Elephas maximus indicus: one gene and its partner. The protein of the gene in region 1 purifies or fractionates together with the protein of each later gene. This does not show direct contact. Links are inferred from orthologs where the notes say so. Each region holds a gene or a part of one and is shown in the gene's direction. Other genes may lie near its edges.

Evidence for each region.
Region 2: the proteins of STK38L (region 1) and MOB2 purify together in Homo sapiens (affinity purification with mass spectrometry; 9 studies listed by BioGRID and IntAct, counting the BioPlex papers as one, with this or other methods). This does not show direct contact. The link is inferred for Elephas maximus indicus from reciprocal best matches to the Homo sapiens genes STK38L and MOB2.

The regions. Positions count from the first base shown.
Region 1 is NC_064822.1:85,967,840-85,980,639, forward strand, and holds the start of STK38L (serine/threonine-protein kinase 38-like), read left to right. Parts: upstream 1-7,678; 5' UTR 7,679-7,830; intron 7,831-12,800. UniProt on the Homo sapiens protein: Involved in the regulation of structural processes in differentiating and mature neuronal cells.
Region 2 is NC_064825.1:136,425,001-136,437,834, forward strand, and holds the start of MOB2 (MOB kinase activator 2), read left to right. Parts: upstream 1-6,820; 5' UTR 6,821-10,957; coding exon 10,958-11,169; intron 11,170-12,834. UniProt on the Homo sapiens protein: Stimulates the autophosphorylation and kinase activity of STK38 and STK38L.

The DNA.
Region 1 (12,800 bases):
TCTAAAGAACAAAAATAGGGAAATCAAATAGCTGAAAGGATAGGACCTAAACTTAGAGTCACTGAATAGGGTGGCTATGAGAAAAGGACAGGAATCTCCACTTCAAAAGATAGGAGGTATAAAAAGGAAACCCCCTCTAAACTTTCTTAGTTTATAGATTTCCTGAGACTTAACACCATCCCTAAAGAGCTAATTCTGACAATTCAGTTAACCTTTGAAGCAGAGTCAGAATTCCTATAAGAAAATCAACTTTTTCACATATATTAAATGAACTAATAGTTTGAAGAGGAAGAACCAAATAAACTATAGGAATTGTAGTGCAGATCCAAAAACCAAACTATACCCATCCAACTTCTAGTTAAAAATATGGCTGGTATCATTAATATTCTTTTAAAAACTTGGAACGAATAGCTTTTTAGAGGTGTAATAGTTTTAAATGTTAGAATCACAGGATATAAATAGGTACTCTACAACAAAGTAACTACAATAATTTTCTAGAACTTATTCAATTATTTTAGCTTTTATTGGACTTGCCATATTACAATATGAATGTAAGTTGAATTCCATCATTGTAATGAAAACTGTCTTTTTTGGAGGGGTTTAAGTTTTTTTCTTGTTTGAGAGAGAATAAACATTTGGAATTAATTCTAAAACTAGAACTGAGAAAGACAGTGGAAATTGAGAGAAAGTAACAGTACTTTTTAGTTTTAAAAAGAAGAAGTCTTTTAAAGATTTAGTTATAAAGCTAACAGTGAATTTTTAATGACAATGAGGATCATTTTAAGGAGACTGTAGGAACCAAAAGTTTTTTTTTTCTTTTTTGAGATTTAAAAAATTTAAACTATATTTAACATAGCATAAATTATCACAAAATATTACAGTATCTTGCATTTTGCTTAACTGTCAAGATAGGCAGATAAAGGGAATCATATAATAACTTGTACAGTGTTTTTCACATATACATACGTGGTAGTCCTAAGTACCATTCACCAAATATTTCTGGTTTCCCCCCTTCCTGGAATGTCAAAAGACAGTGTTGTCATTGTTAGTTGCTGTGGAGTGTATTCCAACTCATGAAGACCCCATGTATTGCAGAGTAGAAGTAGAGCTGCTCCACAGGGTTTTCAAGGTCGTGACTTTTGGAAGCAGATTGCCAGACCTGTCTTCCAAGGTACCTCTGGGTTGGGTCAAATGACCAACCTTTTAGCTAGTAGTTGAGTGCTTAACCATGTACTACCTGGTTACCTTTCAGTTGTATTGGACATGTGACTACTTGTGGCCAATGAGTTGTGAGCAGAAGTCTTAACCTGAGACCTTCCTATCTTGTCTTTTCCTTCTGGCATGAAGATTAGCAATGTTCAGGATAATGGCTGCTCCATTGGCCTGGATTCCTGAGGGACTCTGATGAGCAAAGCCTTCCTGCTGACCTGTGAAAGATACAGGGCATAAGCAATAAATAAATCTTTGCTCTTTTAAGCAACTAAAATACTATGATCACTGCAGCATCATTTACCCTAGTCTTACCTATACCTCATATTTTTTATTTCACAGGTGGAAAATCAGCTGTGTCTGTGTCTTTGTTAGTATCAGGAATTTGTAAAAATTAATAGTAAAGTAGAATCAAAGCAAGAAAGTTTCTGACAGGGCCTTTTTCTCTCATGGTAGATGTAAATATCACCAAAAAAGTTTCTTAGATGCAGAGGATCTATTTAATTTGTAGTTGACAAAAGAAAAAAGGTTTCTATTCTGAAGTATGTATTTTTGTTGTATCACTAATTATTATTATTAATGGTAAAATCATGTTGTTGCTGTTTTTATGTATCACCCAGTTGGTTCCAACTCATAGCCACCCTATGTACAACAGAATGAAACACTGCCTGGTCCTGTGCTATTCTCACAATCATTGCTATGCTTGAGCTTGCCGTTGCAGCCACTGCGTCAGTCCATCTCATTGAAGGTCTTCCTCTTTTTTGCTGACTCTCTACTAAGCATGATGTCCTTCTCCGGGGCCTGGTTCCTCCTGATAACATATCCAAAGTATGCCATCTTCACTTCCAAGGAGCATTCAGGCTGTAATTTGATCATTTTTCTGGTAGTCCATGGTATATTCCGTATTCACCAACACTGTAACTCAAAGGCACCAATTCTTTTCAGTCATCCTCATTCATCGTCCAGCTTTTGCATGCACATGAAGCGATTGAAAATATCACAGCTTGGATCAGGCACACCTTAGTCCTCAAAGTGACCTCTTTGCTTTTTAACACTTTAAAGAGGTCTTTTGCAGCAGATTTGCCCAATGCAATACATCATTTGATTTCTTGACTTCTGCTTCCGTGGGCGCTGACTATGGATCCAAGTAAAATGAAATCCTTGACTACTTCAATATTTTCTGTTTACCACGATGTTTTTTATTGGCCCAGTTGTGAGGATTTTTGTTTCTTTATGTTGAGGTGTAATCCATACTGAAGGCCACAGACTTTGATCTTCATCAGTAGGGGTTCAAGTCCTCTTGGCTTTCAGCAAGCAAGGTTGTGTCATCTGCATATCACAGGTTGTTAATGAGTCTTCGTCCAATACTGATGCCACATTCTTCTTCATATAGTCTGGCTTCTTGGATTATTTGCTCAGCATAAAGAATACAACCCTGACACACACCTTTCTTGATTTTAAACCACTCAATATCCCCTTGTTCTGTTCAAATAACTCCCTCTTGGTCTATGTCCAGGTTCCACAAGAGCATAATTAAGTGTTCTGGAATTCCATTCTTTGCAATGCTATCCATAAGTTATGATCCACCTAGTCGAATGCCTTTATGTTGTAAATAAAACACAAGTAAACATCTTTCTGGTATTCTCTGCTTTCAGCCAGGATCCATCTGACATTAGCAATTATATCCCTCGTTCTATGTCCTCTTCTGAATCCAGCTTGAATTTCTGGCAATTCCCTGTCAATGTACTGCTGCAAGCACTTTTAAATGATCTTCAGCATAATTTTACTTGTGTGCTATAGTGTTGGATAATTTCTGCATTCCACTGAATCACCTTTCTTTGGAATGGGTACGAATATGGATCTCTTCCAGTCTGTTAATTAGATAGCTGTCTTCCAAATTTCTTGGCAAAGACGAGTGAGCAGCTCCAGGCTGCATCCGTTTGAAGAAACATCTAAAATGGTATTCTGTCAATTACTGGAGCCATGTTTTTCACCAATGCCTTCAGTGCAGCTTGGATTTCTTCCTTCAATACCATCGGTTCTTTATCGTATGCTACCTCCTGAAATGAATGAACATCAACCAAATCTTTTTGGTACAGTGACTCTGTGTATTGCTTCCATCCCTTTTCAATGCTTCCTGCATTGTTCAGTTTCTTGCCCATAGAATCCTTCCATACTGCCACTTGAGGCTTGAATTCTTTCTTCAGTTCTTTCGGCTTGAGAAATGCCAAGCATGTTCTTCCCTTGGTTTTCTAACTCCAGATCTTTGCACATTTCATTATAATACTTTGTCTTCTCAAGCTGCTCTTTGAAATCTTCTGTTCAGCTTTTTTACTTCATCATTTCTTCCTTTTGCTTTAGCTACTCTATGTTCAAGAGCAAGTTTTGGAGTCTCTTGTGACATCTATTTTGGTCTTTTTTCTTTTCTGTCTTTTTAATGGCCTTTTGCTTTCTTCATGTATGCTGCTCTTGATATCATTCCAAACTTGTCTTTGGTCATCAGTGTTCAATGCATCAAATCTATTCTTGAAATGGTGTCTAAATTCAGGTGGGATATACTTGAGGTGGTGCTTTGGCTCTTGTGTACTTTTTCTAATTTCCTTCAGCTTCAACTTGAACTTGCATATTAGCAAGCCCTGGCCTTGTTATGACTGATGATATTGAGTTTCTCCATTTTCTCTTTCCACTGGTGTAATCGATTTGATTTCTGTGAATACCATCTGGCAAAGTCGACATGTATAGTCACACTTTATGTTGTTGAAAAAAGGTATTTCCAATGAATAAGTCATTGGTCTTGCAAAATTTAATCATGAAATCGCCCATGTTATTTCTGTCACCACAGCTTTATTTTCCAAGCACCGATCCTTCTTTTTTGTTTCCAACTTTCGCATTCCAATCACCAGTAATTATCAATACATCCTGATTACATGTTTGTTTAATTTCAGACTGCAGAAGTTGGTAAAAATCTTCAATCTCTTCATCTTTGGCATTAGTGGTTGGTGTGCAAATTTGAGCAATAGTCATATTAACAGGTCTTCCTTGTAGGAATATGGATATTATTCTATCACTGACAACGTTGTACTTCAGCACAGATCTTGAAATATCCTTTTTGACCATGAATGCAGTACCATTCCTCTTCAATGAGTTACTACCAGCATGGTACAAAACCCAGTGCTGTCGAGTCGATTCAGACTGATAGCGACCCTAGAGGACAGAGTAGAATTGCCCCATAGAGTACCCAGCACGGTAGACCATATGATTGTCTGATTCAAAATATACAGTACCCAGTCTATTTCAGCTCACTAATACCTAGAATTTCTATCTTCAAGCATTCCATTTCACTTTTGACAATTTCTAATTTTCCTTGATTCATATTTCATACATTCCATGTTCTGATTATCAACAGATGTTTGTAGCTGTTTCTTCTCATTTTGAGTCATGTCACATCAGCAAATGAAGGTCCCAAAAGCTTGACACAACCCACATCATTAAAGCCGACCCTACTTTGAGGAGACAGCATTTCCCCAGTTGCATTCTGAGTGCCTTCCAACCCAATGGGCTCATCTTCTGACACTATATTAGACAATATTCCATAAGTTTTTCACTGGACAATTTTGTCAGAAGTAGATCGCCAGGCTCTTCTTTCTAGTCTATCTTAGATTGGAAGCTCCACTGAAACCTATGCACCATGGGTGACCCTGATGGTATTCGAAATACTGACAGCATAGCTTCCAGCATCAAAGCAACACATAAGCCACCAGAGTACGACAAACTGATAGATGAGTTGTGGAGTGATAATAATCGTAATAAGAAAACAGTTGTCATGGAGTGAACTCCAACGCATGCTGACCTCACGTGTATTAAAGTAGACTGTGCTCCACAGGATTTTCAATGGTTGGTTTTTCAGAAGTGTATCACCAAGCTTTTCTTCCAAAGTGCCTCTTGGTGGACTCAAACCTCTAACCTTTCAGTCAGCAGCTGTGTTTGTTAACCATTTGTACCACCCAGCAACTCTGGTAATAATAACAGCTACCTTGAATTGAACATGAACATATTCTCTGTTCTGTACTAGGTGCTTAATTCATATTATTTTACTTAAAATCATTTAATCCTCACAACAATCCTAAAAGACATCTATTATTCAAACTGAGTTCTTTCTATCTTCAAGCTGGTATTCTTTCTATTGTGGCAATGGTATTTTACAGTTTACAAAGTGCTTTCACCACACATAATCATATTTCATTTTTGCAGCAACTAATGATGTTGATATTCTTGCCATTTTGCAGATGAGGAAATAGAACTTCAGAGAGTTTTTTCTGACCTGTGGAAGGTCATACAACTAGTAACAAAAGCAGACCCTTGGGATACAAATCTCAAAAATGTAGTGAAAAGGGAGAAATATATTTTTTGCCTTTCCTTAATGCTTTCCTTCAGGCTTCTAATTTACATCAATGCTTTTCACTTTGGGGGAGAAATAACCTAACCCTTGGAACAACTTAAACCCTAGACAATAAATAATTTTCAATTTAATCAAGTCGGTTAAATATTAAGGCAGGGATCAATTAGAAGTCATTGTCTCCATGTTTATAAAGTGCTTTGCAGAAAGCAGTCTGGTGAGAGTTCTGAATGGATTGTCATGTGTATGATTAGATTGTTCACTGAAAGTCACCTACAGCTTATAGAAGACAGCCTTTGTTTCCAAGCAAACAAACTTAAGGTCCCCAGGTGGTCCAAATGGTTTGAGCTTGGCTGGTAACCAAAAGGTTGGCTGTTTGAACCCATCCAGCAGCACCGTGGAAGAAGCAGGCTTGGCTATCTGCCTCCATAAAGATTACAGCCAAGAAAACCCTATTGGAGGAGTTCTAGTCTGTAAAAAATCAAAACCAAACCAAACCCATTTCTGCTGAGTTGATTTCGATTTATAGCGACCATATAGGACAGAGTAGAACTACCCCATAGGTTTTCCAAGGATAGAATCTTAAGGAAGGCGACTGCTACATCTTTCTCCCGAAGAGCAGCATGGGTTCTAATCCACCGGCTGCTCCACAGGAGAAAGATATGGCAATCTGCTTTGGTAAAGATTACAGCCTTCGAAACCCTATTGGGGCAGTTCTTCTCTGTCCTATATGGTCACTATGAGTTGAAATCAACTCATGGCAAGAGGTTTGATTTTTTTTTTTTTTATGTTTGAATATGGCAACTCTCACTTGACCACATAAGTGGAGCTGATTTCCCCAATACACTGATTACCACACTACTGTTTTTCCCACTACCAAACTATATGTGAGACCACACAGAGTTTAAGAGAGGAAGAAGGGAGAAATGATGGTGTAACTCTTCTCGAAGTCTTCTGCATATGTGTCATCTACTTTTACTGAACTTAAAGATAACAGTTGGCATCTCTGAAAGATATTTTCTGCATGCACAGTACCATCTTCATATATTGTGAAACCCTTAGCAGTACAAAAGCTGAGTCTTTTCTAAAAACTCTAATAATACATATTAAGAATAATTTGTCACCAATAATTTGGAGTGACTCTTACTTGGTTTTCCAAAAGACCAGTTTTGTCCCCAAACGTAAATTTCATCATTTTCCCCAAAGTCATCCCTTCTGAGTCATCCTACAGGGAGGTGATTTTCCTCACAGTTCTACAATCCTAATGATAAAGCAGCCCGGTGTTGTCAATTATTTTAGATTTTCCAAGGTAACTCAAGCAAGTCTTTTATGTACACTGCCAAGCATTTTGTATAGTTTTCCAATCCAAATCACTAGGGTCTAGACACTTGGTGAAGTGGGAATTAAGGAACCTGACTGGCTACTGGAAACCCTGGTGGCGTAGTGGTTAAGTGCTACAGCTGCTAACCAAATGGTCGGCAGTTCAAATCCACCAGGCACTCCTTGGAAACTCTATGGGGCAGTTCTACTCTGTCCCGTAGGGTCGCCATGAGTCTGAATCGACTCCACGGCACTGGGTTTGGTTTGGTTTTTCGTGGACTGGCTTCTAGTCCCCACTCAGCTACTGACTAAGCAACTTGGTCACCCAGTCCATCTTCGCTGACCATGTTTTTCTAATCTGCTAAATGTGTGGATTCAAGATTATCTCTAAGCTCCTATTTCTAAAATTCTTTGTATTGCATTCAAAAAAAAATTGCATTAAGCACTGGGAAAAACTTTAACGACAATTAGGCCATGTAACTAATGTGCCAACACACAGTTTTACTTTCAAGGCAAGCCTGAACCAATTTTGAGTAAATAAGAGGGCAGCGAGGCGGGGCTCTAGCAGGAGAAGGTGACAACCGACCAGTAAACTTTTCCAAGGCCAGTCAGCCCTCCACCAGCAGGAAGTGGGTGGGGCCAGGGGCCAGCGTTGACGACAGAAGGCTACTTCCGTCTGTAGTGCGTATGACGTCAGGACCGAGGCGGACGGGTCCAGCCACGGAGAAGCCGAGGAGGAAAGGCTCGCGAGAATCCAAGGAGGCCGTCCCGAGATTCCGGCGCGGCGGCCGGACCCACCTCCGGGGGCGGGGCGAGGGCGGAGCAAGGAAAAAGGAGCGGACGGGCTCCCGGCCGGCTGCGGTCCGAGCGGAGGCTGAGCCGGCTGCGGGCGCGACCGGAGGCAGGTGAGTGCGCGGATGCGGCGCTCCGCAGCCGCGGCGGAGGGACCCGGGCTCGCCGCACCGGCCCTAGCTCTGCGAGCAGAATGAAATCTTATGTATGTTTGAATGTCCAGGGAATGCCGGGCTAATTTCGGGGCTGGAAATGTCTCCGGTGACGCTCTGGCGACGGCCTTGGCCCTCCTGTTCTTCGGGGTGCTGCTGACCCCGTCTGTCCGGAGAGGTAGCCTCGAACCGGGGAAGGAATCTTCGTCCTTCTCTGTTAATTTCCCCTTCCACTCCTCTGCTCCGGAGCACCGCGCTCCTGGTCCCTGCTTGGGCTTCATAAACAATAACAAATGTCGCGGACCGTCTCCTGGCATCCCCTGGTCTCCTGTCCCGTGCCCTCTAGCCTGTGTTACCAAGAGGAAGGTTTCTAGGTACAGCTCTTAAATTGTGGGGGCTGTTTGGTACCATTCCTAAAAACTGATGCGTCAGATAGCTAAACATTTCTCCGATAGACACAGTAAAGCCCCCCAGCCTCAGAAGCCACGGATTGTTCAAAGCCAGTCTTAAAATCTAATCTGTTCCTTCCATTGGTACCGTAGACCCTTCCTTTCAACATCTTTATCTTCCACTCTGTTTTTTTTCACCTTTAGTGTCGGGGACGAACTGGAGTGGTTATTTGGGATGGAAATAAAGATTTAAGTAGGGGACCCTGTTAAGTAGGGGACATTTCACCTTTAAAAAGTTGCCAGGTTGATAGCAAAAGAACAGACTTTATTTTCAAAACCAGTAGCCTCCCGTTTACTGATGCTACTTTTTGTTTTGTGGGACTTCTTTTTGGGTTCTATGTTTGGAGCAATGATTATAAAAAGAAATTGTGTGTGTTGGGGGGAGGTGTGTGCTGTAAGTAGTGGTTTGTCCAGAAGTGTGATGCTGTTGTTGCTCACGTGATAAAATGCAGAATCAACACTCTTGTCTATTTCATGTAACTTGTGATGCGTTTTGATAAAAGCTAATTACTCAAAAAAGGCCTGGGTATTAACTTTATTACTGTTAAAATCTGAGGAAACGACTTTGTTTTAATTTATGCCCCCGGTCATAAAGTGGGAATTGAAGAGTGAGACCCTGTCTTTTTTGGGGGGATGGGGGAATGAGGAGTCTTTAAACTTGTCAGGTCTCCCTACTTTAAAGCAGGGTTGTAAGCCCAGTTTTGCTCACCCCAATGCAGTTTTTTGTCTTAGCCGTATATGTATATAAAACACTGGAAACTGCTTTGTGTTTGACTGGCCTTTCTCTGTATGCCTCCGGGTATATAAAACAATTAAGCTTATTATACTCAGCTCGCAAGTAGCTGAGAGGTATTGTGTGTGAGTTAGCCACTCTTGTGACTCTTGGAGGGAAGAGATGGTAAATTATGTTGGCACTTGTTCATTGCACAGGTTCATCAGGGTACTTTTATCTGAAAAATTCTGATCTCAAAAGCAGTACAATGGTTAAAAAAAAAAAAAGGTTTCACGTGGCTTAGCTTTGTGTTCTCCTTGTTAAGATGGCTGAGAATGTTTCCCATTTAGTTGGGATGTGTTTAGAATGAGAAACAAATTTGGGTGTAGTTTTGTACTCTTTTGAAAAGCCCTGGCACTGGGGAATGAAGAAATTAAACTGAGAAAAACCACATTAAGTGGGTGTAATTCTCCTCTAGCCTCTTGTTTTTGAGAGTTTGTTTTAAAATAAGTCAAAACTCAGGACTGAAGTTGAGGAATATTTGTGCAGGTAAATAGGTGTCCTCAGCAGTTTTTGTGCTGAAAATATTAATTTCAAAAGGTAGAGCAGTGTAAGAACGAAGAACTAAGTTTACTTTCTAGAAAATGATGACAGTTTAAAGCAACTAACTCAATTAAACCATTTGTTTTCAGAAAAATTCTGTTCTCTCAAAGTTAGGGCCGTATCATTGTTAGTGAAGTTAGATAACATACTTTAGAAAGTGATCCGGGATAAGCTAGAGTCTTTTTTTTTTTTTTTCAGTGAAAATATATGCAACAAAACATACACTGCTTCAACAATTTCTACATGTACAGTCAGCGACAGTGTTTACATTCTTCAGATTGTACCACCGTCCCAAAACTATTTCACCATGATTAACACAAACTCACTGCCTCCCTAAGCTTCTCATCTCTCCTTTGGAGTTTTTGACAATTTGATCACATATAGACAAGTCCTTTAAAAGAGTATAATGCTTAATGCAGACATTCTTTACTAATTAGGCTGAACTCTTACTTGGTTCAAAGATGACTTTAACCTCCCGGTTAAAGGTTTCCTCAGGGTAATAATATTAAGGGTCGTCTGGCCTCAGTGGCTCCAGAAAGTTTGGATTCCATGAGAATTTGAAATTCTGTCCTAGAGACTGTTTTTTTTGGTGGCACTTTATCAAAAGGGAAAAGGCACAAATCAAAGCCAGAAAGCTTTGCCTCTCAGTGTAATGTTAAGATGATTTTATTTTACATAAATAATGTAGGGTGAATCAAGCAAGCATGTTGTCATCTACCATTCCTAGGATTACATTAAATCAGCAGATGGGCAAGTTATGGTTAGGTTAGACTTGACATATGCAGAAATTATGCTACTGTACAAAGCACCATGGGCTTTTAGGATGAGATAATGACAGCAAGCTTTTAAGGCAAAAAATTAAAAAAAAAATTTTTTTTTAAAGGTATTCTTGGCCAACTGTTAAAAAACAAGTGAATCTCTCTGCCCTCCCAGTTTTTGTTTAAGTCTTAGAGAATATTTAGCAAAGAATGACCAGTACTTAAGTGCACAGGTTACATAAACCTTCTGTCTCCAGGTAAAGGTTTGCTAGTTGACAGAGTATTGTTGTTGAGAAACTTTAGGGGGGGAAAAAAAAAGAAACAATGAACAATATTCCCTGCCCAGTACACTCAGGTGAGCTGTGGTCTCTGTTTTCAAGGATTTATATTCCAATGGAAAGAAATGTGTTCAAATAACTATGATACACATGCATTTTATGGGGGAAGCCAAGAAGGGAAGGGTTAAGTCCTGCTATACCAATTAAGGAAACCCTGGGTTGGTATAGTGGTTAAGTACTAGGGCTGCTAACCAAAAGGATGGCAGTTGGAATCAACCAGTCACTCCTTGGAAACTCTATGGGGCAGTTTCGCTTTGTCCTATAGGGTCACTATGAGTCGGCATCAACTCAACAGCAATGAGTTTTTGGGTTTAGACCAATTAAGGAAGACTTTGAATAGGAAATAGCATTTGCATAGATGATTTGGGTGACCAAAAAGTCAGCAGTTCGAATCTACCAGGCGCTCCTTGGAAACCCTACAGGGCAGTTCTACTCTGTTCTGTAGGGCCGCTGTGAGTTGGAATTGACTCAGTGGCAATGGGTTTTGTTTTGTTTTGGTAGTCCAATGATAAAGAAGCCCTGGAGGTGATATGGTTAATAGCTTGGCTGCTAACCGAAAGGTTGGCAGTTCGAACTCACCAGTTGCTCCAGTAGGAGAAAGATGTGGCAGTCAGCTTCTGTAAAGATTACAACCTTGGAAACCCTATGGGCAATTCTGCTCTGTCCTATAGGGTCCCCGTAAGTCAGAATCAACTCCACAGCAATGGGTTTAGTCATATAATAATGATAATAAGCAAACATTTAAATGTACTACTTGTTCACCTGGGCTTAATACTCACAACAGCCATACAGAGTAGTTATTTTAATTATTCCTCTTTTGCAGATGGGGTAACTGAGATACCAAAGCCATATAGCTAGTTAAGTGGCAGAAGCGGGATGACAACCCAGGCGTTCTAGCTTAACCCTGTATTCCTGTGCTTAACTGCTAAAAAGAGCTCCAAAGCAGTGATAACCCAGGTACCTATGTTATCTTGGGCATGTTAGATATTGAGTCCATTTTTGGAAGTTGCTCTTGGTGTAAATTAAATATCACCATGGAGTGGGACTTCTGATAAATTTGACTTATATTACTTACTAACATCCCCATAAGGATTTAGAATTAAGAAGTTATAACTATATTAACTTCTTTGCCTAGTAAAACGTTTGAATCACTGAATATTTTGACTTGTAATTTTTTTGGCCACTTGGCGTTGGGCATGCTTTCGATTTAAGTGTGAAGTTGGGGTTTAGTTAATGATTGCATGGCCCTTTTAGTTTTTATTTCCACAAACATCTAAATTTGTAATAGCTGAAACAAGGTTTTGAGAGATGAGTGTTGTACATGTATAAAATGAGAAATTCAATCACCCATTTTTTTTATACGTTGTATTGGGAAATTTTGAAAGCTCTTTGAGATTGTAAAATAAAAGATAATGAAGGATATCATTGCTAATGTTGGATGGATCCTGTGTGAAAGTAGAGAATACCAGAAAGATGTTTACCTGTGTTTTATTGACTATGTAAGGGCCTTGGACTGTGTGGGTCATAAGAAATTATGAAAAACATTGCGAAGAGTGGGAATTCCAGAACACTTGATTGTGCTCATGCAGAACCTGTACATAGATCAAGAGATAGTCCTTCGAACAGAACAAGAGGATACTGTGTGGTTTAAAGTGAAAAGGTGTGTGTCAGGGTTGTATCCTTTCACCATACTTATTCAATCTGTATGCTGAGAAGCTGGACTATATAAAGAAGAACGGTACATCTGGATTGGAGGAAAACTCAACAACCTGTGATATGCAGATGACACAACCTTGCTTGCTGAAGTGAAGAGGACTCGAAGCACTTACTGGTGAAGATCAAAGACTACAGCATTCAGTATGGATTACACCTCAACATAAAACAGAAATCCTCACTACTGGACCAATAAGCAACATAATGATAAACAGAGAGAAGATCGAAGTTGTCAAGGATATCATTTTACTTGGATCCACAGTCAACACCCATGGAAGCAGCAGTCAGGAAATCAAAAGACGCATTGTATTGTGCAAATCTGCTGCAGAAGACCTTTTTAATGCTAAAAAGTAAGTAT
Region 2 (12,834 bases), on another chromosome or scaffold:
CCTGACCAGGTGTGTTCCCTGACCAGGTACACACCCTGATGAGGTACGCACCCTGACCAGGTGTGCCCCCTGACCAGGTACATGTGCCCTCGCTGTAGCTGCTCCTCTCCTCCCAGGTGTAGACAGGGAGCAGCAAGGCTAGCCATACCAACACTGACTGTGAAACAAGGGCTACTGGGTGTTCTCACTGGCATTGTTTGAGGACCTGGGGACTTTGTGTTGGTGATGACAGCATTTGGGGCTGTTTTACCCCCCATTTGCACTCGGGCCTGGCTGCATCTAGCCTAGGAATGTGGTCCCATTGTGGGGCTCCCTCAGCCAAGCAGGCATTTTGTCGAGGGGGTGCTTGTGTTCTCAGGGGCTGGACACTCTGGAGGCTGTCACCACAGTGAAGGCACACCTGTACCTGACTCAGTGGCCAAATGATGACAGTGCACACACTTGAGTGCAGCTTTCTGGGCCCTTATGTCTGGCAACTGTTGGCTATGGGCACAGTCACACGGAAGCCCAGTAACGCGGGGAGCTGAGCCTGTACCTGAGGAAGGGGTTCTCGGGGCATCTGAGCCAGCTGGTGTCAGGGCTCTCACCTGGGGGGGTACGCACATGGCTACACATAAGCACCAATACCACTGCTGCCCTCCCGGGGAACAAGCTGCCACGAGCTGGCAGGGCAGCTGTGCTTCCACAGCTAACCATGTTGGGTGTGTGCTGGCCAATGGAGCGCCCCTCAAACGTCAGAGTTGACAAGTTTCTAGAGCCTTGGGGGGCAGCACTAAATCAAAGAGCAGGAGAGCAAGCAGTGCCCTGTAGCGATGTGTCGTCACCAAGGCAGGAGGCAGGCGTGCAGAAAGTTGAAGACCAGTTTCTCATTGTCATTTAAAAACATGTATCTTAAATATGGCATCTTAAATAGTTAAATCCCCCTTGCCTAGCAGTTTCCTGGAATTTTAAATTATTACAGCCATCAGTAATTGTTACGGTGTAAACTTTCTTTTTAAAAATAGACACGTAACATGAAAAGTTCTCATTTCCTGTGTTTTGTTGGGAAAACCAATGTTGTCAGGTCTCCAGCGCGTTAATATTTAGTTGGAAGATGGCTGACTTTGTAATCCCAATCCCCACCTTGCATGTTCCCATGTGTACACAGAGACACCCACCCTGTTGAGAGCCAGAAGCTCTGGGGATGAAGGAGAAAACAACAGTGATGTTTGCTTAGGATAAATATAGGTAAATATGTTGTAAAGAATGTATTTATAAATATTTACAAAATTCCTGAGGGCTTGTTGCTATCCTCAGGAGCCCTGGAAGCTCTGAGCAGGGTGGTAGGTGAAGCGTCTGGCTTGGCTTGCTTCTCCGTCATAGGAAGCATTCAGTCAGCATTTGTGAACACCAGGTGCAACATGTCTAGCAGCCCTGCTCATACTGAGGTCTGTCCACCGTGGGCCGTTTCCACCCACGTGACTCTGAAGAATGTCTCTGTGGTTGCGCTCAGGGCCGTTGCTCCTGAGTTTGAGTTTTAGCTCTGCCATTTCCCAGCTGCCCCATTTCTTGGGTGGGGAAAGGAGGGATTTCATGCCTTTTGCACAGGGTCTGTGGAGGTAACACGGGAGGTAACCTTCAGCTCACACCTCCTGGGAGCCCGTCAGAGCTCCCCAGCAGCACCCACAGGAAAGGACATACAAGGGTGAGCCCTTGTTTAGCTCTCTGATCTATCCTGAATTAATTTGTGTATGGTGTGAGATAGGGGTTGAGTTTTGTTATTTTGTTTTTTCCTTTTCCCAGCACCATTTATTGAAAAGACTCCTTTCCCCCAGTTTGTAGTTTCCTTAGAATTTTGTATACACACAGTCATGCTGTTTGTCAAACAAGGCAGCCTTTTCTTTTTCCATATTTATGTCTTGTCTTTTTTTTTCCTCATTTGCACTGGCTAAGACATCCAGTACAATACTAAGCAGAAGCAGTGAGAATAAACATTCTTGCCTTGTTCTTGATCTTCAGCTGAAAATGTTGTCTTTCAGCTACGTGTTTGATGTTAGTTATAGATTTTTCTGTAGGTGCCCTTTATCTGTGGAGGATGTTCCCTTCTATTCCTAGTTTGCTGAGACTATATTATACATGGGTGCCGAATTAGTTTGATGAGACTTTATATTATACATGGGTGTCGAATTAGTTTGCTGAGACTATATTATACATGGGTGTTGGATTAGTTTTCTGAGACTATATTATACTTGGGTGTCAGATTAGTTTTCTGAGACTCTATATTATACATGGGTGTTGGATTAGTTTGCTGAGACTCTATATTATACATGGGTGTTGGATTAGTTTTTTGAGACTCTGCATTATAAATCGGTATTCAGTTTAGCCATGTGCTTTTTCTGTATCTAATTGAGATGATCATATAATTTTTTCCCCCTGTATTCTGTTGATGTGGTGAATTACATTGACTGATTTTCAAATGTTAGCTAAGCTTAAATTCCTAGAATGAACCTCTTCTGGATATGATGTATTATCCTTTTTATTTATTATAAGCCACCACGTGTCTGTTGGTTTGTTGTACTATGGTAGCTTGTGTGTTGCTGTGAAACTTGAAGCTATACTGCTAGTATTTCATATACTAGCAGGGTTACCTGTGGTGGACAGGTTTCAGTGGAGCTTCTAGACTAGGACTAGGAAGAAGGACCCGGCAGCCTACTTCTGAAACAGTTGGCCTGTGAAAACCTTACGAATAGAAGCGGAACATTGTCTGATATAGTGCTGGAAGATGAGCCCCTCAGGTTGGAAGGCACTCAAAAGATGACTGGGGAAGAGCTGTCTCCTCAGAGTAGAGTAGACCTTAATGGCATGGATGGAGTCAAGCTTTCATTTGCCAACGTGGAACAACTCACAGTGAGAAGAAACAGCTCTAAACTATAATCGGAACATGGAATGTAGGAAATATGAATCTAGGAAAATTGGAAGTTGTCAAAATGAAATGGAATGCATAAAAATCAATATCCTAGGTATCAGTGAGTTGAAATGGATTGGTATTGGCTGTTTGAATCAGACAATCATATGATCTACTATGCTGGGAATGACAAATTGAAGAGAAACGGTGTCGTATTCATTGTCAAAAAGAACATTTCAAGATCTATCCTGAAGTACGGTGCTGTCAGTGATAGGATAATATCTGTAAGCCTACAAGGAAGACCATTTAATATGATTATTATTCAAATTTACACACCAACCACTAAGGCCAAAGATGAAGAAATTGAAGATTTTCACCAACTTCTGCAGTCTGAAATTGATCAAACATGCAGTCAAGATGCAGAGATAATTGCTGGAGATTGGAATGCGAAAGTAGGAAACAAAGAAGGATCTGTATTTGGGAGATATGGCCATGGTGATAGAAACTACATGCATGATAGAATTTTGCAAGACCAACTGCTTATTCATTTCAAATGTCTTTATTCAACAATGTAAACAGCAACTGTACATGTGAACCTCACCAGATGGAAAACACAGGAATCAAATCAGCCACAGCTCTGGAAAGAGACAGTGGAAAAACTCAGTATCATCCGTCAGAACAAAGCCAGGGGCCACCTGCAGAACAGAGCATCATTTGCTCAAGTCCACGAGGACCAAAATACGACCTTAAGTTTATCCCATCTGAATTTGGAGACCATCTCAAGGGTAGATTTGTTGCACTGAACACTGATGACTGAAGACCTGACAAGTTGTGGAATGATATCAGGGACATCATTCATATAGAAAGCAAGAGGTCATTAAAAAGAAAGGATAGACCAAAATGGATGTCAGAAGAGACTCTGAAAGTTGTTCCTGAATGTCAAGTAGTGAAAATGAAAGGAAGAAATGATGAAGTAAAAGAGCTGAACAGAAGATTTCAAAGAGCTACTTGAGAAGACGAAGTATTATAATGAAATGTGCAAAGAACGGGAGTTAGAAAACCAAAAGGGAAGAACACACTAGGCATTTCTCAAGCTGAAAGAACTGAAGAAAAATTCAAGCCTCAAGTTGCAATACTGAAGGATTCTGTGGGCAAAATATTGAACAATGCAGGAAGCATCAAAAGAAGATGGAAGAAATACACAGAGTCACTGTACCAAAAAGAATTGATTAATGTTCAGCCATTTCAGGAGTTAGCGTATGATCAAGAATTGATGGTATTGAAGGAAGAAGTCCAAACTGCACTGAAGGCACTGGCACAAAAAGAAGGCTCCAGGAATTGACAGGATCCCAACTGAGATGTTTCAACAAACCAATGCAGTGCCAGAGGTGCTCACTCGCCTATGCCTGGAGATTTGGAAGACATCTGCCTGGCCAACCGACTGGAAAAGATCCATATTTGTGCCCGTTCCAAAGAAATGTGATCCAACAGAATGCAGAAATTATCGAACATATCATTATTATCACAGGCAAGTAAAATTTTGATGAAAATTATTCAAAAGTGGTTGCAGCAGTACATCGATAGGGAACTGCCAAAAATTCAAGCCAGATTCAGAAGAGGACATGGAATGAGAGTTATCATTGCTGATAGATGGATCTTGACTGAAAGCAGAGAATACCAGAAGGATGTTTACCTGTGTTTTAATGACTGTGCAAAGATATTCGACCGTGTGGATCATAACAAATTATGGATAACATTGAGAAGAGTGGGAATTCCAGAACACTTCATTGTGCTCATAAAGAACCTGTACATAGACCAAGGGGCAGTTGTTTGGACAGAACAAGGTGATACTGCATGGCTTAAAGTTAGGAATGGTGTGCGTCAGGGTTGTATCCTTTCACCATGCCTATTCAATCTGTATGCTGAGCACATAAGCTGAGAAGCTGGACTATATGAAGAAGAACAGGGCATCAGGATTGGAGGAAGACTCTTAACAGTCTGCAGTATGCAGATGACATAACGTTGCTTGCGGAAAGCAAAGAGAACCTGAAGCACTTACTGATGAAGATCAAGGAATACAACCTTTCAGTATGGATCACACGTCAACATGAATCAAAAATCCTCACAACTGGACCAATAAGCAACATCATGATAAATGGAGAAACAGTCGAAGTTGTCAAATATTTCATTTTACTTGGATCCACAATCAATGCCCATGGAAACAACAGTCAAGAAATCCAACGGTTTATTGCATTGGAGACCTCTTTAAAGTACTGAAAAACAAAGATGTCACTTTGAGGACTAAGGTGTGCCTGACCTAAGCTGTGATGTGTTCAGTCACCTCATATGCATGTGAAAGCTGGTCAGTGAATAAGGAAGACTGAAGAATTGATGGCTTTGAATTATAGTATTGGCGAAGGATATTGAATATACTGTGGACGGCCAGAAGAATAAACAAGTCTGTCTTGGAAGAAGTACAGCCAGAGGGCTCTTTGGAAGTCATGGTGGCAAGACTTCTATCACGTACTTTGGACATGTTATCAGAAGGGACCAGTCCCCAGAGAAGGACTCATGTTTGGTAAGGTAGAGGGTCAGCAAAAAAGAAGACCTTCAACAAGATGGATTGACACAGTAGCTGTAGTAATGGCCTCAGATACAGCAACGAGGTTGTGAGGATGACGCAGGACTGGGCGGTATTTTTTTCTGTTGTACATGAGGTCGCTGTGATGGGAACCGACTCTGACGGCACCTAACAGCAACAACAACATAGATTTGAATTGCAAGTATTTTGTTATGGATTTTTGCATCTATGTTCATAAAGGATGTTAGTCTGTAAATTTTCTCTTTAGTTAGTATCCCTGTCTTATTTTGGCATAAGGGCTCTGCTAGCCTCCTGGAATTAGTTGGAAAATGCTTCTTTCTCTGTTTTCTGAAAGAAATGTGTAAGGTTGGTACTTTATCTTTCTTTTATATATTTAAAAAAAGAAAAAGTTGCCTTCGAATCGATTCTGACTCATAGCAACGCTATAGGACAGACTAGAACTGCCCCAAAGGGTTTCCAAGGAGCAGCTGGTGGATTCAAATTGCTCACCTTTTGGTTAGCAGCCAATCTCTTAACCACTGTGCCACCAGGGCTCCCGTTCTTATGTATCTGATAGAATTCACTTGTAAAGCTACCTGCATGTGGCATTTTCTTGTAGGAAGGTTTTTAATTATAAATTCAGTTTATTGGCAGATAGGGGCTATTCATATTTTCTCTTTATTCTAAGAAGGTCAGCTTTGGTAACTTGTGTTTTTCAAAGAACTTGTCTACCTCATCTAAATTTTCTGTTGGCATATAGTTTTCGTTATAGCCCTGTGTTATCCTCTCAATGTCTGTAGGATCTTAGTTTTGTGTCCCCTCTGTCATCTCTGATATTGGTCATTTTATGTCTTTCCGTCTTCCCTGCCCATCAGTCTAATCTAGCTGTGGAATTTGTCAATTTTCCTGACCTTTTCAGAGCTAACTTTGTGATGAATTTTTCTTTATTATTTACCCATTTCTATTTCATTGATTTCCGGTTTTTATTTTCTTCCTTCTACTTAATTCAGGTTTGATATGCACCCCTTTTTTCTAGCGTTTTAAGATGGAAGTATAGCTCATTGATTTTAAATCTTCTCTGACAATATAAACATTTATAGATATAAATTTCCCTCTCTGAGCTTTGCTTTACCTGCATCCCACAAATTTTGATAAGTTATGTTTTTATTTTCACCTTTTCTTTGCTTGGTTTCATCTTTTGTTAAGGCTATCCCATAAAACTTTCATTTCAGATACTGTATTTTTTAAGTTCTAGAATTTTCTGTTCTTTTTTGTAGTTTCCATGTCTTTTTTGAGGGTACTAATCTTGTTGCTCATTGTGGCCATCTTTTCCTGGAAATCCTTTCATATATTTATAGCAGTTGTTTTAAAGTCCTTGACAGTCACTTCCAGCATCTCTGTCATCTCTGGGTCTGTTTCTGTTGACTCTTAGAGTTTTGTGGGTTATGGGTTACATTTTTCTGCTTCTTCACGCATCAAGCTTGTTTTTTTTTTTTTTGGTATGCCAGATACTGTGGAGACCATGTTGTTGAAATTCTCAGTGTTGTTGTCCTCTTTTAAAGAGCACTGTTCGTTCTGGCAGAAGGTGGATTTACTGTTGGTTCGGTGGGTTGGTTTAAGCTTTAGTGGGGCAGGTCTAGGGAAACCCTAGCTCTGGGGCTGCAGTAGCCCTACTCCCCCGGCATGGCTTTTGTGGAGTGTTCCTGAATGTCCCACGGCTCTCCGCCCTGACAGTTGGAGTGCCCATGTCCTCTTGTCTTACGTAGCCTCCAGAATTTCCCTTCAGCTCGCGGCTCCTGTGTAGCTCCTCTTTGCCAGGTTGTGTGGCAATTCACTCTGCACATGCTCAGCTCGGTGGCCGGCATGAGTGAATCCATGGTCGTGTTGCAGGTTTTTTTTTCTGTGCAGCTCCATCCTTTTGGGTACCTTGCCTGCACGCTTCTGCAGTCAGCAGCCCTGGGCGTCCACTTTGGCTTCCTCTGCTTAGGAAGACCACGGTGCTCTGGGTGCATCTCCCCATCCGGCACCGCGGTCTGGAAGGCCAGGGCAGTGCTGATCGCTCATACGCCCCCCTTAGGTCCCGCCCAGCGTCTGAGAGCAGTTGCTCAAGCCTTTTGACCAGTTCATAGGTGTAGATGGTGGTTCTGTCGTGAGCTGAAGTGGAAATCTCTTTGTTCCGTTTTTACCAAAGAAAGTTCCTCCTTTGTCACGTCTGTTTCTCCACTGGGCTTGTTGTGCTCCTTCGAGTCCAGACTTCGTTTCAATAACAGTTTATCTGTTATATCTTATTCCATTTTGTGTTCTTTTGCCTCTCTATTCAAAGCTTTTCTTAAATCACTTTATTCCTGAGATTTTTTAATTCTTCTTTATCAGGTTGGTTTTCACCTCTTTTATGCACGTGTCTTTCTCGAGTTGTTGTCACTGGAGTGTTCTCTTTCTTCTCTTCTCTTGTAGTAACTCCTTAAGGGATTCCGCCATGCTTGCTCTCAAGTGAAGTGAGTTTCCCTGCACCCTTTGGAGGGATGCTGGTTGGGGATCACTGTGCTGACTTCGCAGCTCTGGAGTACCTCGGTTGTTTTCACAAAGCAATGAAAAGATAGGTGGCCCCTCCATGCTTCTGACTGTTGGCATGGGAGTTTACGGATAAGCTGGGGGAGGAGACTGGAACCATCTATGTGGCAGTGAGACACTAGCCTGATATCGATACAGACGATTACATATGGAAAATTTATAAATACGTGTATATCATGGGGTTAGTGTACACACGTATCACCTTGCCCTGTCAGCTGAGAGGACCTAGAAGCAGTGACACTCCAGTGGCAACGAGCACACCCGGCGCCCAGGTCTTGATCTCTGCACTGTTCTCCAGTAAAGGAACCAGGGCACCTTGAAGAAATAGCTGTATTGGGGGCTGGGGCAGGAAACTCACAAGAGGAGCCTGGAACCTCGTGAAATGTGAGAATGCAAGAAAGTGCAAAGAAAGAGACAGCGAAAGACAGACAGACAAACAGCAGACAGACATAAAACCCCCAAACAAACCCCACAGTGATGGGATATGTCAAAGGGACACAGGAGCCAGTTGAAAGAGCCCCCAGTGGCCAAAACTGGGACAATTTGATTAACAAAATACATGATGTAGTACTGGGTTATAACCCAAAGTATAAAATGAATGTCTGAGAACCCATACTGACATAAACAAATGTTTGAATAAATAAATACTCAAGGGAGAAGAGACAAATCTCCCCTGCAGAAGGATCCCAGGTCATTTATATGGATAATCCACCCTAAGGAGGGGGAGGGCAAGTCCTCAGTCCTCGAGTCTGGGCTGCACAGAGTGACTTCCAAAGAGGCCAGTGGATAAGGGTGGGGGTAACTTTATGGTGGAGAAGCCTGGCAGACACTCCCTCAGCCAGGTGATCAAGGTGAGCACCCACAGTGAGGTTATGTGGTTGGCCTGTGCCCTTCACATGTGATGAGAGGACATTTACCTCTGGGGTCATCCTCCAGCACACCCGTAACTTCAGTCTAACCGTGAGAAAAGGTTCAGACCAACCCTACTGCAGGCAGAGTCTGCAAGATACCTGACCCCTTCTCAGCACAGTCAGGAGCATCAAAAACAAGGAGAATTCAAGCAGCCATCCGAGCCCAGAGGAGCCGAAGGAGACACGACAACTAGATGTGACGTGGTGTGCTGGGTGGGTCCCGAGATCCGACTAGATGTGACGTGGTGTGCTGGGTGGGTCCCGAGATCCGACTAGATGTGACGTGGTGTGCTGGGTGGGTCCCGAGATCCAACTAGATGTGACGTGGTGTGCTGGGTGGGTCCCGAGATCCGACTAGATGTGACGTGGTGTGCTGGGTGGGTCCCGAGATCTGTGCTGCTGTCAGAAGAGCGGGGCAGGGCTTGCCACGTCTCAGGGCACAGTGCCTGGTGCTGTTTTAGCTGCAGAGTATTCTAAGAATAGTGCTCAGTGGCTGTGTTGGTAGGGCCTTATTTTAGCGTGAGAAATCATTTTCTGTAAACGTAACTCAGTGATGAAGGAGGCCTCGCTACCTTCCTTGTTCCCTCGGCGTGCTTGCATAGACAGGATGGAGGCCCTGATCTTAGATGGCTGCTCTGTGGGCCCCACAGCCCTGCCCACGCCTGTGTGTTGTGGAGCACCTGGCAGGTCGGCTCTCCACCTGTTCGCACCCAAGGCCGTTGACTCCTGCCTGAGTCTCTTGGCACCTGTGTGGTGGGAGGGCTGAGCAGAGCCACCCGGAGTGGGTGTGCTCTTGTCAGAAGTGCTAGGCTGCAGCCCCATCCTGGCTTACCCGACCTACCTTACCCACTGGTCTCTGCCGGCTGGTGGCCACACACGTGTCCACCCAGGCCAGGCCCTCAGGACAGGAAGCTCCAGGGTGGACACCACCTTCCCGATACCTGCATCCCTTCTGGCCAGCGGTTAGCACCTTGTCTGGGCCCAGAGCCCTTTCCGAGCCTGGATGGGTTCCTCTGACTTCAGAGATCACGTATTGAATGTCATGGGGTGTGAAAAGGTGTCCTGGGAAGCACCTGCTTGGAAGTCAGGCCCATTGTCTGTCTCCTGTGACTGCTTGCTCTGCGTGTGTGCACCTGTAAGATGGACACCCCGCTGTGGGGGATGAGCAGAGCACTTGGGGTGTTTTGTCGCCCCCTCCCCACCCCCTCTCACTTCTCTGCTGGTCATTCTTGCCCACCGTGCTGCCGGGATCTGGGTTCTATGCCTGCAGCATCAACAGGGGCAGCAGGCACACCCCCACGACATAGATGCACGAGGCGCCTGGTCCAGTGGTGTCCGATGGTGACTGGCACATAGGGGGAGCTCACCCCAGGTCAACAGCTCCTGCAAACAGTGGGGTCAGAGCTGGGCAGGATGAGGGGCACTGTCCTGACTGTCGGTGCTTCCTGCTCCTGTGCGCTCAGCTGCAGAGAAGACCCCCTGCCACCCTCGAGAGCCGGTGTCCTGGGCTTGCACAAGGGCCTCACACAGACTTGAGTGCATTGTCACTTCACCATCGGCATGGCTGGGCCCCCTGGAACCGCGATGGACTTTGTGGTGGGTGTGAACTCTGGGAGGTGCAGGCCCTGAAGAAAGGCTGAGGGACTGAGTGCAGACATAGTCGCCGGTTTCCCCTTCACTTGGGGCCTGCCTTGAGCAGTGCATCCATCTCCTCGCCCACCAGCCTGTCCTCTTCACAGAGCTTCCCTGTCCTCGCTGGAGCCTGCATCAGGGGCTGCTGTGCTCAGAGGGCCTTGGTGGGCTCAGCCAGCACCCTCCCGGTGCTGGCTGGCTAGGGCTTGCAGCCAGCTCTATCCTCCCACCCACCTGGCCTGAAAGGCTGGCTGGGACACGCCCTTATTTCAACAGCCCAGCCCTGCCTCCTGCTGAGGAAGGCACAGCTGTCCGTGTGCCCTCAGCCAGAGCCCCTCCCTCTGCCATGTCCTCATTGGCTGGGGGCAGAGGGAGGGGATGGCCCAGCACTGGGGCCACTTGTCAGCTCCGCAGGGAGGGAGCCAGAGCGACTGGCTCCAGTGTCCCGTCCCCCACTCCCAGCCCCACAGTCTCCTGACCATGCTTGGCGACCACGGGACTCTGCCTGCAGACCGAGGTCTGTACAGCCCTGCCCCCAAAACAGGACTCAGCTGCAAAATGGTCCTCCGGGCCGTCGGCAAAGTGCTCAGGTACCAGCCCCCTGACCTGCGAGTTGGAGGGGCGGGGGTGGGGCAGGGCTCCTTTGGCTCTTGTCCCTCTCCCCAGGCAGTCAGTCTGGGGGCATTGACTGTGTTGCCCGAGGCCCAGTAGCTAGCTGGTGGCTAAGCAGTGCCAGGCCCTGGTGGACCTCCGGCGGGATAGGGAGGCGGCAGCTGTGTGTGCCCCAGCCTGGCCGGCATCTCGTTCCCCGTGTTCCCTGTTCCCAGAGAGCCCGTGGATTTCATCCAGAGCTGGACTGTGGGCAGCTGCTCAGTGGGCAGCTTCATACACATGGGGGCGGCGGGGTAGAGGGACAAGCTGAAGACTGAGCCCTGAATGAGTGACTGTCCTGCCTTTTGGAGCTACCTGATCCCTTGACCATGGGGTTCTGTCCTGCCCCCCCCCCCCAAGCCCACTGGTCTGCTCTTCAACACCAGGTGTATCCAGCTGTTGTCACTGGTCAGTGGCTGCTTGTCTCCAGGGGTCCAGGCGTCCTTGAGAGAAGCAGGGTGGGCACCTCAGTGTCTGCTCGCAGAGAAGCCCTTTCTAGAAGTTTCCTTGCCCCTTATTCTCACCTGCTACCAGGTCCCTCCCTCCTGCGACCTCTGTGTACAAAAACAGGGACTCACAGAAACTCACTTTGGAGAGTTGGCAAGCTTGTGAGAGCGTGTAACTGTGCAGTGTGTGTGCACGTGTCAGTGAGTTTGTGATTGCGTGGGTGTGTATGTGGGTATACGTATGCATGTGTGAGAGTCCTGAGGGTATGAGTGTTTACATTAGTGTGTTAGTATTGTGTGAGTAGGCATTCAAGTATGCACCTGTGTATGTGGTACTATGTGTGTGGGTATGTGTGTTAGTGTGCGTGCATGTGTGTCTCTGTATGAGTGTATGTTTGAGTGCATGTGTGTACACGTGTGAGTGTGAATGTGTGTGTGCACGTGTCTGAGTATCTGTGAGTGCATGTGTGTGTACACGAGTGTGTGTGAATGTATGTCTGTGTGAGTGTGTGTGCACGTGTGAGTGTAGGAGGGAGGTGGGTTCTTGCCCTCAGAGGCAGCGGTACCATGGTCCCTTCAGGGAAGCCCTGGTTGGCCATGGTTCCTGGGGACCTGGGATGCAACATTTGGCGGAATGGAGCTGGCCCCTGCCTGCACTCCGGCCGTGAGGACAGAGGTCAGCAAGCATGGTCGCTGGAGTCCGCAAGGCTTGCAGAGTTGCCTCTCCAAACACGTCCAGTGGAGTGTCGCTTCAGTGTCCCCTCATTTAGTAATCTCACGTTGGCATGCGGTTTCCCCAGGTCCCAGGTTTGTCATAGAAAGTTACCCTCTCTTGCTTTCCCAGCGCTGCCTGTAACTGCAGCCAGACCAAGTGGTCTCCCGGTGAGGGTCTGGGCTGTGGGCAGGCCCCGGGGCTGTGCTTATCCTCAGATGCCCTGCAGGTTCTGGAATGTGTGAGTACCTCTGGGCTCTGGCTGTTTTGGGTCCCTGTCGTGCGGTCCATCTGTGACACGCTTTCTCCCCCACCGGTCGTTCCATGCAGTCCATGGGAGGGTTTCTGGGGGCTGGCTGGTGAGCTTGCCAACATCACCCCTTTTCATGTTTGGATGTAAGATTTTGAAAACCTGTGGGAAAGTTGGCAGTGCCACGCTCTGCCAG